Mus musculus: one gene and its partner. The protein of the gene in region 1 purifies or fractionates together with the protein of each later gene. This does not show direct contact. Links are inferred from orthologs where the notes say so. Each region holds a gene or a part of one and is shown on either strand. Other genes may lie near its edges.

Region 1 (5,206 bases):
GTCTTTGTGTTTTTTTCAGCAGTGCCTTAAAAAAAAAAGATTTATTTATTTATTTTATGTATATGAATACACTGTATCTGTTCAGATGGTTATGAGCCTTCATGTGGTTGCTGGAAACTGAATTTTTTTTTTTTTTTTTTTTGCTCACTCTGTCAATTCTGCTCACTCAGTCCCTGCTTGCTCCGGCCCAAAGATTTATTTATTATTATACATAAGTACACTGTAGCTGACTTCAGATATACCAGAAGAGGGCGTCAGATCTCATTAAGGGTGGTTGTGAGCCACCATGTGGTTGTTGGGATTTGAACTCAGGACCTTAGGAAGAGCAGTCAGTGCTCTTACCCACTGAGCTATCTCGCCAGCCCCCCACCCCTTTTTTAAAACAGGGTTTCTCTGTGTAGCCCTAGCTGTCCTGGAACTCATTCTGTAAACCAGGCTGCCCTCAAACTCAGAGATTCTCCTGCCTCTACTTCCCAAATGCTGGCATTAAAGGCGTGCACCACCACTGTCCAGCTAGCTATCTTATGAACTGAATTATGTCAATCCAGAATACAGGTTTTGTGTGTAAAAATTCACTCTAAAAAGGGCTTGGTGCTACACCAAGATCCCAAACACCTAGTGTAATCACTGGAGACCTAATAAAAACTTTCTATTAACTTAAACCCATGTCAGCACTTTAATCCCAGCACTCGGGGAGGCAGAGGCAGGCAGATAAAAATTCGAGGCCAGCCTGGCCTACAGAGTGAGTTCTAGGACACCCATAGATAGATAGATGAGTTTCCAGGGCTACACAGAGAACCCCTATGTGGATGGCTACTCTCAATTATCAACTTGACTATATATAGAATGAACTATAATCCAGAAACATAGGGAACACCTGTAATCCGGACTTGAGGCAGGAAGACAACATGCCTGTAATCTGGACCTTAAGGCTGGAAGACACAGGCTTTTGATCCAGACCTCTAGGAGGAATGACTCCTACAGGTCTTGAAGCACACTTTTATTCTGGGCCATATCTTCTGCTGGAGGCCTATATAAGGACAATGGAAGAAGGGACAGGTACTTGCTTTGCCAGTACTTCCTTTGGAGCCTACTTCTTCTGGATTCCAGTTTATGCAGAAAAGCAGCAGAAACAGCAACCCTCAAGGATCAGAGCAATTCACCACATTGCTTCCAATTATGATGATAATGGACGAAACTTGAAACTGTAAGCCAGCCCTTAATTGTTTTCCTTTATAAGAGTTGCCATAAACCGGGCGTGGTGGCCCATGCCTTTAATTCCAGCACTAGTTAGGCAGAGGCAGGCGGATTTCTGAGTCTACAAAGTGAGTTCCAGGACAGCCTGGTCTACAAAGTGAGTTCCAGGACAGCCAGGGCTATACAGAGAAACCCTGTCTCGAAAAACAAACAAACAAACAAACAAACAAACAAACAAAGAGTTGCCGTAGACATGATGTCTCTTCACTGCAATAAAACACAAACTAAGATTGTCTATCCCGAAAACCCAAATAAATAAATATAAATAACTTTCGAATCAAGGCACAGGGGTAAACGCTTGTTATCCTAACACCTAGTAATCTGTGATCAAAATTTCGAGGCCAGTCTGAGATATACAGCGAAGTCCTATTTCAAAACACAGATTATCTGTGACACTTTTCCATTCCCACTCTGAAGACAGTCTTATGCTTTTCCCTCTGGGAAGGACAGGCAGGTGATAATAACCCATAATTGAACGTCAGGTGCCTTTTAAGAGCAAAGTAAAATCTCGATTGGCCCAGCAACAATAATAAGCAGAAATTTAGCTCAATAGGAGGTCGGGCTTCTTCGGAAGTGGGCGTGGCCAAAGCGGTTTCTGGGCACGCCTCCCGAGGCCAATCTAGCAGCCCGGAGGACTCAGCTCGGCTCCTCCTCTCGCAGCTTCCGGCCAGTCGGAATTCCGCTTCCCGTCTGACATTGGCGTCTTTGCTAAGGGTCACATTGAAGTAACGCTACTCCGGGACAATCTTTAGGTGAGTGTGAAGGGTCGGGATCCTGGGGGAACCTTGTCCGTTGCAGAGAAGCGCCCCGGGGCTTCCCTGACGCCAAGCAGAAACTTCCGGCGGCCACGGGTCCGGTGTCCTGGAGCTAACCATTATAGCCGCCTTTCTTCATGATGGCTAGGTCGCTTTCTAAGCAGTCCCTATTACTCCATCCTTCAGCCCTACAAGTCCCCTTTGATAGCGTTGGGGCTGGAGTGTGAAGCGCCTTACCCGTGGCTATAAGGCAATTCGGATTTAGACCCAGTAAATTGGACTGTGGAGCTTTTAGTTGCGAGTTCACAGGCGTGGCCACCCGCGTTCCAAGGCCGAAGCCTGTCGCCTTGACTCGTGTCTTTCCCCTCAGCGTCATCTTTGATCAACTCTCAAAACTCGAGATATTGTCCAAAATTACTTCCGACACTGAGTCTTTTAAATCCCCCGTGCCCACCTTGCCTCCTTCAATGAACCTGCCCAAATACCCCACTTGTTTGGACTACTTCAGTTGACACTGGCACCTCTGTGGTGTCAAGGTCCCCCAGATGCTCTAGAGACAGTTTCTCTCAGGTCTGTTGATATTGACTATGTCATCTCTTCAGACATATCAAAGCTGAGAGAAGTCGATAAAACTCAAGGAGCTAAAGTATTTGAATGATTGGGGGGGGGGCGGTTTGCGTGGGGTTCTAATCGAATTCCAGTATTTACTTCCATTAGGAATGGAGGCAGCAACGTCAATAGATTTGGTAGCCTGGGCCATTGTCAGCAGGCAAAATCACAGATACCTGACACATGCCAGTTACAAGAGTCACAAATCTTCAGTCATGGTTACCTCCAGTTGTACTTTACTTGTTAAGTCCTTTGAGCTTTTTTTTTTTTTTTTTTTTGGAGCGGGGTGGGGGGGGACACATCTTAGGCAATCCCACAATGCATTTAGGCATATTCTGAGCAAAGTTTGAGTTCATTGGACCTCAGATGAGTGTGTGACGCCAGAAAACTAGCCGGTGACACCAGAAAATCCTTGCAGTGTTTTTGCTGGTGATGGATGAAGCATTATCACTGGGTGCTGTGTGACCTTGGAAAGTCATTTAGACACCCTGTCCCTTGTGTAGACAACAGAGGTAGCAATATCTTTTAGAGTGGCCATGGGGTAGGTATGTATAGAGTACACATAGTATGTGCTGTGCACACAGTGAGCGTTAACTGGAATTTAAGGATGAAGATTGGTTTTGCCAAGGAGACCTCTGTCCAACCCTACTGTGGCTTCTGTACTCAGATATATGGGTTTTCCCTGCCCTTCATCTTTCTGTGTTTGTGAAGAAGGGGGAGATAATGGTTTATTCACATTCAGCCTGTTATTCTGCTCTGGCCTGACATCCCCACACCCAGCACCTCCAGAATGGTTGCCAACATTCCCACTCTGTTTGCATCCAGGAGTCAGGATGGCTGAAGACATCAAGACTAAAATCAAGAACTACAAAACTGCCCCCTTTGACAGCCGCTTCCCCAACCAGAACCAGACTAAGAACTGTTGGCAGAACTACCTGGGTAAGCAGAGTACCATAGTGGGCCTGCCTGGGTCTCCCATGTACCTCCAACCTCAGAAAGGAAGTTGGGGAGCAGGGACATGTGCGTTCCAGCCTGGTTTCCTTCACTCTGGACGTACCCTCTGGAGGGCCCGACCCCTCAAACTAGCTCTCCAGGTCATAAACTTTGGTCTCAACAATAAATTTTTTGAAGAATATAATTATACATGTATATATGAATTACATATACATCTTATGTGTGTGCCACATACACACACAACATACAAGTAAATACAGTATGTAAACAGTTGATTCAGGGGCTGGTGAGATGGCTCAGCAGGTAAGAGCACTGACTGCTCTTCCGAAGGTCCTGAGTTCAAATCCCAGCAACCACATGGTGGCTTAACAGCCACCCGTAATGATATCTGACGCCCTCTTCTGGTGCATCTGAGGACAGCTACAGTGTACTTGATATATTAATAAATAAATCTTTAAAAAAAAAGTTGATTCAGACATAGTCACAATCCATGGATAAAAATGAATATTGCCAGTACTCTGCTCTCAGCTTGCTTTGGGCCCGGTCTTAAACACTGTCCCTTTCCTCTCTCTTTGCTAGAGACATTTGGGGCCCCTGCCTTACTTGAGCCCATGAGACCTTCCCTCAACAAAGAAAAACAAAAAACAAAAAACTAACCATTAACAAGAATTAAAAACCCCGCTGGTACCTGTCCTGTCTTCCTCAGATATGATCAACACTACCTTCCCCTTCCCTAGCCCTGTCTGGACTTCCATAATTCTGATATATGCCCCTCATACTTTGCTGTCATTCCTAGCTCCAGAATGTTCTATATAACTGCCCAGGTCAGGCGTATATAGCTCTTTATGGTGTACTTGTAAGTTTGCATTCCCTCTGTATGTATAAGCAATCTTAAAGCAAAAAGCATTTGTGGATTTTCCTCTGAAATGTGCTTAGTCGGGGTTGATTTGGAACCTCTTTTCTTCACAGACTTCCACCGCTGTGAGAAGGCAATGACGGCCAAGGGGGGTGATGTCTCCGTGTGTGAGTGGTACCGGCGTGTGTACAAGTCCCTCTGTCCCGTGTCATGGGTATGTGCCTCCCGACGGGACCCTTGGGTGGTCAGGTAGGGAGGTAGCAGAGACGAGTATGGCTAGTGAGAGTTCACCTCCAAGGGTCAAGCGAGGACCAGCCATGGAATGTCACTGATCCCTGCTCAGTGAGGGCCCTTAGCCCAGGACCACCCTCCTTGCCCATGCACTGAAGAAACACAGGCTTGGGCTGGGCAGTAGTGGCCCACGGCTTTAATTCTCAGCACTCTTGGGAGGCAGATGCAGGCAGATCTCTCTGAGTTTGGGGCCAACCTGGTCTACAGAGCTAGTTCCAGGACAGCCTGTGCTATACAGAGAAACCCTGTCTCAAAACGCCGAGGGGGAAAAAAGGCCCCCAAACACGTGTCTTAAAATCAAAATGTGCTATTTAATTTGGTGTGGTGGTAGCACACCTGAAACCCTAGCACTCAGATCATGGTGGGCTACTTGAAAACCCTATCATGCTTTTAAAAAGTGAGAGTGTGAAAGAGAGAGAGAGGTTGTACAGCATCCATGTCTGTGCTAGTGCCTGTGGCAGTAAGTAGAGGGTTTGGGCCTGGA
Region 2 (5,213 bases), on another chromosome or scaffold:
AATGGACAAAGACATCTGAAGATATCCCATTGTGTCTATGTTTGTTAGTGTGAGAATCCAAGATGGTCTCTGCCTACCAAGACTGTGTGGGCTAGCCTCTAAGAGTAACTTTTTCAAGGATTAAGTACCTCCCATGTACCAGGCTCTGTGCCCAGCAACCTTCCTCAAATTTCAAAGTAACTGATCCCATGAGAGAGTAAACCCAAAGGAGTTAGAGTAGAAGAATCTGGATTTGCCTCCGGGCTTGTCTCCAAAGTCTGCCCTCATCAGCACCTTCCCAGGCTGGGGATGTAGCATGCCAAGCTGGCTACGAGCCCCCAAGCAGGTGTCTTCTTCTGGGGAACGGTGAGATATGACGCTGATGAGATGGATCAGAAGGGGTCTGCCTGCTCTTGCCAGGCTGGCCTGCTGGTTGCCTTCTCCTCTGGCTCCAGTGCAGCATTCCTAACCTTTGGTTCTCTTCCCCTGCCAGGGCCAGACAATATGCCAAACAGATATTGCTTGCACAGTGGGTGAAACAAACTCCGGCCTCCCAGGAGGTGAAGTCTGCCGGACTGAGGAGGGGCCTGGGAAGAGGGTGTAACAGGCCCAAGGAGGGCTGTAGTGACACTCTACCAAGGAGGGAGTAAGGGTGTGCCTGGGGCTGGCAGTGCTCCTGAGATGGCTTCAGAGGCGCTTTCACCAGAGGCACTGGTGACTCACCGGCTTCTCCCACACCCAGTCCCCTAGTAGGTGGTGTTGCTCCGTTTGTTGAATGAATGTTAAGATTCACTAGGAAAATTCTTAAGGACTAGTTGCAGTAGGAAGAGGCCAGAGGTCTGGGTGAACTATCCTCAGCTAGGGGCTCTAACCAAATCAGTGCACCAGGAACCCGGCAGCAGAGAAAAGTCTCCCTCTCCACGTCATCCAGCCAGGCTAGTCCAGCTACAGTAGCATCACACAGCCTTTGAGTACACACCCCCTAGGGAGCGAAGACCAAAGAAGCATTTGCTGGACAGTTCCACCTGGGCAGGATCACCTCATCAGTCTGCTCACCAATAGACACTTTCCCCGTGGTCCTTCAGTTCCCCAAGTTCCCCAAGTTTCGTATCCCCAGGGGCCCAGAGAGAAACTAGGAGTGGAAGAAGCAGCCGTGCACGAGCGGACTCGACTAATTGCTGAGGCCCACAAACGCGCAGCCCGAGATGGAGAAGCTCAGAGAGCTGAGGGCAGCTGCACCCACTGGGGTAGCACCCCTGTAAGACCCAGCGCGGATCCAGGGAAAAAGCGGCCCGGATGATGGTGTCACCCGGGCATCAGGAAGCACTTACGTTCGCTGCCATGGTGGGCTTGGTTCGCTGCCGCCGTCTTGCTCTATTCCGCTAGGAATTGGGCTGACGACCGGAACGCAGAATACGGTGACCTCCTGTCTGCCACAGAGCTGCAAGACTTCTCGTGGAATCCAGGACCTGGCGGGACGCAGGACAAAAGTTACCGCCCTGCCTAAGCCTCAAGTTGTCTGCGCGTGCGCATCTTAAGGGCTGCTGGGAAATGTAGTCCGACGTCTGACACGTTCGCCACAAAATTACAAACCACTGTATTTCACTGGTGCGCGTGCGCGCTGCAAGATTTCTGGGAAATGTAGTATCGGTCTAGTTGGAGAGGCGCAAGGGCTGCTGGTCAGTGTAGTTTTCGACTGAGAAGCGGTTCTGGTGCTTAGGACGCGCGGAGGCAGGCGCGCGGCGGGCAGGCCTGGAGGGGGCGGGTCTGTGCGGGCCTCAGTGCCACCCGCCAGGCCTGAGAAGCGGCGAGGGAGGTCACGGCGAGAAGGTGTATCCGCTCCAGCCGCGCCCGCTGCCTCTGCGAGCTGCAGAGGACTGTCGGGAACAACCATGTCCTACTGCCGGCAGGAAGGTGAGTCGGGCGCTGCCATGGAGACCGGCCGGGACGGGCCTGCGAGAGACACGCGATCAAGTGGTCTCCACCGAGCGGCTGTGGGCCCTTTAGTGGGCCTCACGCGGCGGTTTCCAGACGAGAGAGGCAGAGGCTCCGTGAGGAACGAGGCCGGTCCAAGGTCAAGGTGAAGCCCGAACCCGGGCCTCGGAGGGCCTCACGTGGGCCTGGCCAGTGTGGAGCACGTTGTCTCTGGCTGGGAATCGGGGACTGTTAGGAATTAGACACCGTCGCTCCTAGCACTCCCCACGTGGTTCTATCCCGCCCAGGCTTTTTAGCTATCCCGAAAAATTACCGCTTGGGCTAGAGTGGGCGTGCTGAAGTGCATCTGGCAGGAGCATTTAGTGAGCGCCTTCTGTGTACTAGGCACGCTTTTAAACTTAACGTAGCCATTTTTATATGTCGGGTTCCCTTACTGTCCACGTCTTATCAAACGGAAAATTAAGACAGGTTACTCGATCCAGGAACCCACATCAGGTCACGAAACCGGGACCCGCTATGAAAGAGCTTCCTTTCTTCCGTCATTTCTAGCCACGTTGAGGACCACTCACTACCTGTTGTTACCTGTAAGCAGCAACCCAGAAGAATCCAGACCAATCTGTTGCTCTAAGGTCTCCCAGCACTGACTGGCTTCTTATGTCTGAGCTGCCAAACCCGCCAGGCCCTAGTTTCCACTCCTGTAAATTGAGAGATCAGGCGTCATTTACTCTGGTATTCACGAAGCACGTGCCCAAGGCAGGAAAGAGTTGGAGGGCTCTTGAGAATACAAAGCTACAGAGAGACTTGGTTCACCCAGAATTCTCAGCTCCTTTACTCTTAAGTCTAGAGAACATGAGGTACAAAGGAGGAAGTGATCCACCCAAGGCCATACATCCAGTTAGAAGGCCCCAGTCCGCTGTAGAACCCCCTCCTTCCCAGCATCATCATTGGTGCCTCTCCCGAGGACTGTTTCTGTTGGTTAGCACTTGGTGTTCCGCATACGAAAGTCCTTGACCCAGCACTGTTAGGCGGATTCCTAGGATGACTTTTGTTTCCTCCAACCTAGTTGGTAGGTTGATGACGAGTCTTTGAGTTAAGGAGGCTATGCAGATAAACATTTCTACCCCTCTTGATGGATTTACAGACCTCGGGTTTTTCAGGAAGGAGGATGGGTCCATCAGCTGCTAATGCAACATAGAGCCCGTCTTCTTCCTGGTTCAAAAGGTGTGTGTGTATGTGTTTAGTGGTTCTCCGTTTTTGAGACAGTCTCAGTATGTGCCCCTAACTCAAATTCTTCTCTTCGTCCCAAATTCTGGAATTAAAAACACATGCCGCTACCTACAGTCTCTGTGAGTTCAAGGCCAGTGTAAAATAAATTGCATGTTCCAGGCCTGCCAGAGCTACATAGTGAGATCCTGTCCAAAAACAAACCAAAAAATAGTATGTAAGGACTTAGGAGACCATGCGGTGTTATTCTTCCAGTCTCATGTTCTTCCTCCTGCTCCTCAGCTCTTCTGGCTGTGCCCTTTGTCAGGTGCTTTCTTCCTCCAGCTCTCTGAATTGCTAACTTATCCTTTAAGAACCAGCCCAAAGCCGGGCGTGGTGGCACATGCCTTTAATCCCTCACTTGGAAAGCAGAGGTGTGTGGAGTCCTCTGAGTTCTAGGACAGCCAGAGCTATTTTACAGGGAAAACCCTGTCTCAGGAAAAAAAAAAAAAAAAAAAAAAAAAAAAAAAAAAAAAAAAACAAGAGAAATGGGCAGGAGACATGGCTCAGTGGTTAAAAGCACTGACTGCTCTTCCAAAGGTCCTGAGTTCAATTCCCAGCAACCGCATGGTGGCTCACAACCATCTATAATAGAATCTGATGCCCTCTTCTGGTGTGTCTGAAGACAGCTACAATGTACTCATATAAATAAATAAATCTTTTTAAAAGAGAAAGAAAACAAGCAAAAAACCCAGCTTCAATGCCACCAGGTCTTCCCTGATACTTTGTGTCTCTATAAACACACTGAAATTATCTCCCACCAAGCTGAGAGATGGCAGAAGGCCTAGTATACTGTGGGTGTTCAGGATTTAATAGAGTGACCCCAGGCTCATGCCTATCCACCATTCTAATTAGGCAAATGGTTGCCTGGACAGTTATGTCAACAGTCCATACATCTAGTCAGTCTCCAGGTTAAAGACCTCATTGACATTAAGAGAGTCCCACCGTGTGGATGAAGCCTCAGTCTGGCCTTGTGCTCTTGGTGTTTCTGTCAATTCCACACATGGTTCCTTACTTTCCTCCTAATAATAAACAGCCTGCCTCTTTCTGTTCATTCAGCAAACTTTTTTTATTGCAGTGTGATGTGCACTGAGTGAGGTGGCACTTTGGATCTTTACAGAACAAGAAGAAGTTGGCATTAAAGCACTCCGGGATGGATGGGTAGTTACAGACAGCAGGAACTGTGCTGAGACACTGAGGTTCTGCAGGGGTTGCCAGGGCTTGGAAGACCATTTCAGATGCTCTTTCCTCAAACCCTTCCCAGTCTTCAGACCAGGAGAGAATGAACACTGGCTTCTTAGAGCCACCTTTTGCCTCAGGTTTCACTTGGTCTTGAGTTCCTAATCTTTCCTCTACCTCTTTTAGGACTTGTGCGGGCTACTGTGCCTCCTTTATTTAGTGCAGGGATCAAACTTGGACTTTTGTGAGCATGCTCAGCCAGCATACTACAGACTGGGTGATGGCCCCAGTCCTTTTAAACTATCCTATCCCCGGATGGACTCCCAACCCTGGGATTTCCCACCCCACCCTCCACCCCCACTTTCTGTAGACATTCCCTACCCTAGTCAGTTCTTCTCCACTTGATACATGTAAGCTCTGACTTGCTTCCCCCTCAAGTCCTGATACAAGCAGAAAGTATTGAAAGTGTATGGGTATAATAGTTATTTTCCTTTTAAAAAAGGTTTAATTTTTGCATATAAATGTTTTGCCTGACTGTATATAGGTGCATCAATTGTGTGTCTGGTGTCTGGGGTGGTTACAAGAGGACATGGGATCCCATAGAACTGCTCTCAATCACTGAGCCTTGTCTCTAGCCCGATCCTAAACTTTCATGTTTCTATTTGGAGTCAGGTTCTCACTGTCTAGTCTTGTCTAGACTAAAACTCATCATTGTAGACCAGATTGTCCTTGAATTCACAGAGACCCACCTACCCAGCTTCAGATATCAAACTCTTAATCCTTACCACCTGAATTTGGGTCCTAGCACCCATGCCAAGAGCTGCACTCTTACACACAGCATTTCCATAAATCACATA

The links. The genes of interacting proteins can lie anywhere in the genome.
Region 2: the proteins of Cox6b1 (region 1) and Chchd4 purify together in Homo sapiens (co-immunoprecipitation; 3 studies listed by BioGRID and IntAct, with this or other methods). This does not show direct contact. The link is inferred for Mus musculus from reciprocal best matches to the Homo sapiens genes COX6B1 and CHCHD4.

What each region holds. Positions count from the first base shown.
Region 1 is NC_000073.6:30,622,854-30,628,059, reverse strand, and holds the start of Cox6b1 (cytochrome c oxidase subunit 6B1), read left to right. Parts: upstream 1-1,945; 5' UTR 1,946-2,009; intron 2,010-3,446; 5' UTR 3,447-3,454; coding exon 3,455-3,560; intron 3,561-4,544; coding exon 4,545-4,645; intron 4,646-5,206. UniProt on the Homo sapiens protein: Component of the cytochrome c oxidase, the last enzyme in the mitochondrial electron transport chain which drives oxidative phosphorylation.
Region 2 is NC_000072.6:91,469,996-91,475,208, reverse strand, and holds the start of Chchd4 (mitochondrial intermembrane space import and assembly protein 40), read left to right. Parts: upstream 1-1,785; 5' UTR 1,786-1,871; coding exon 1,872-1,893; intron 1,894-5,213. Other genes in the region: Tmem43 (transmembrane protein 43), read right to left, coding at 1,311-1,322.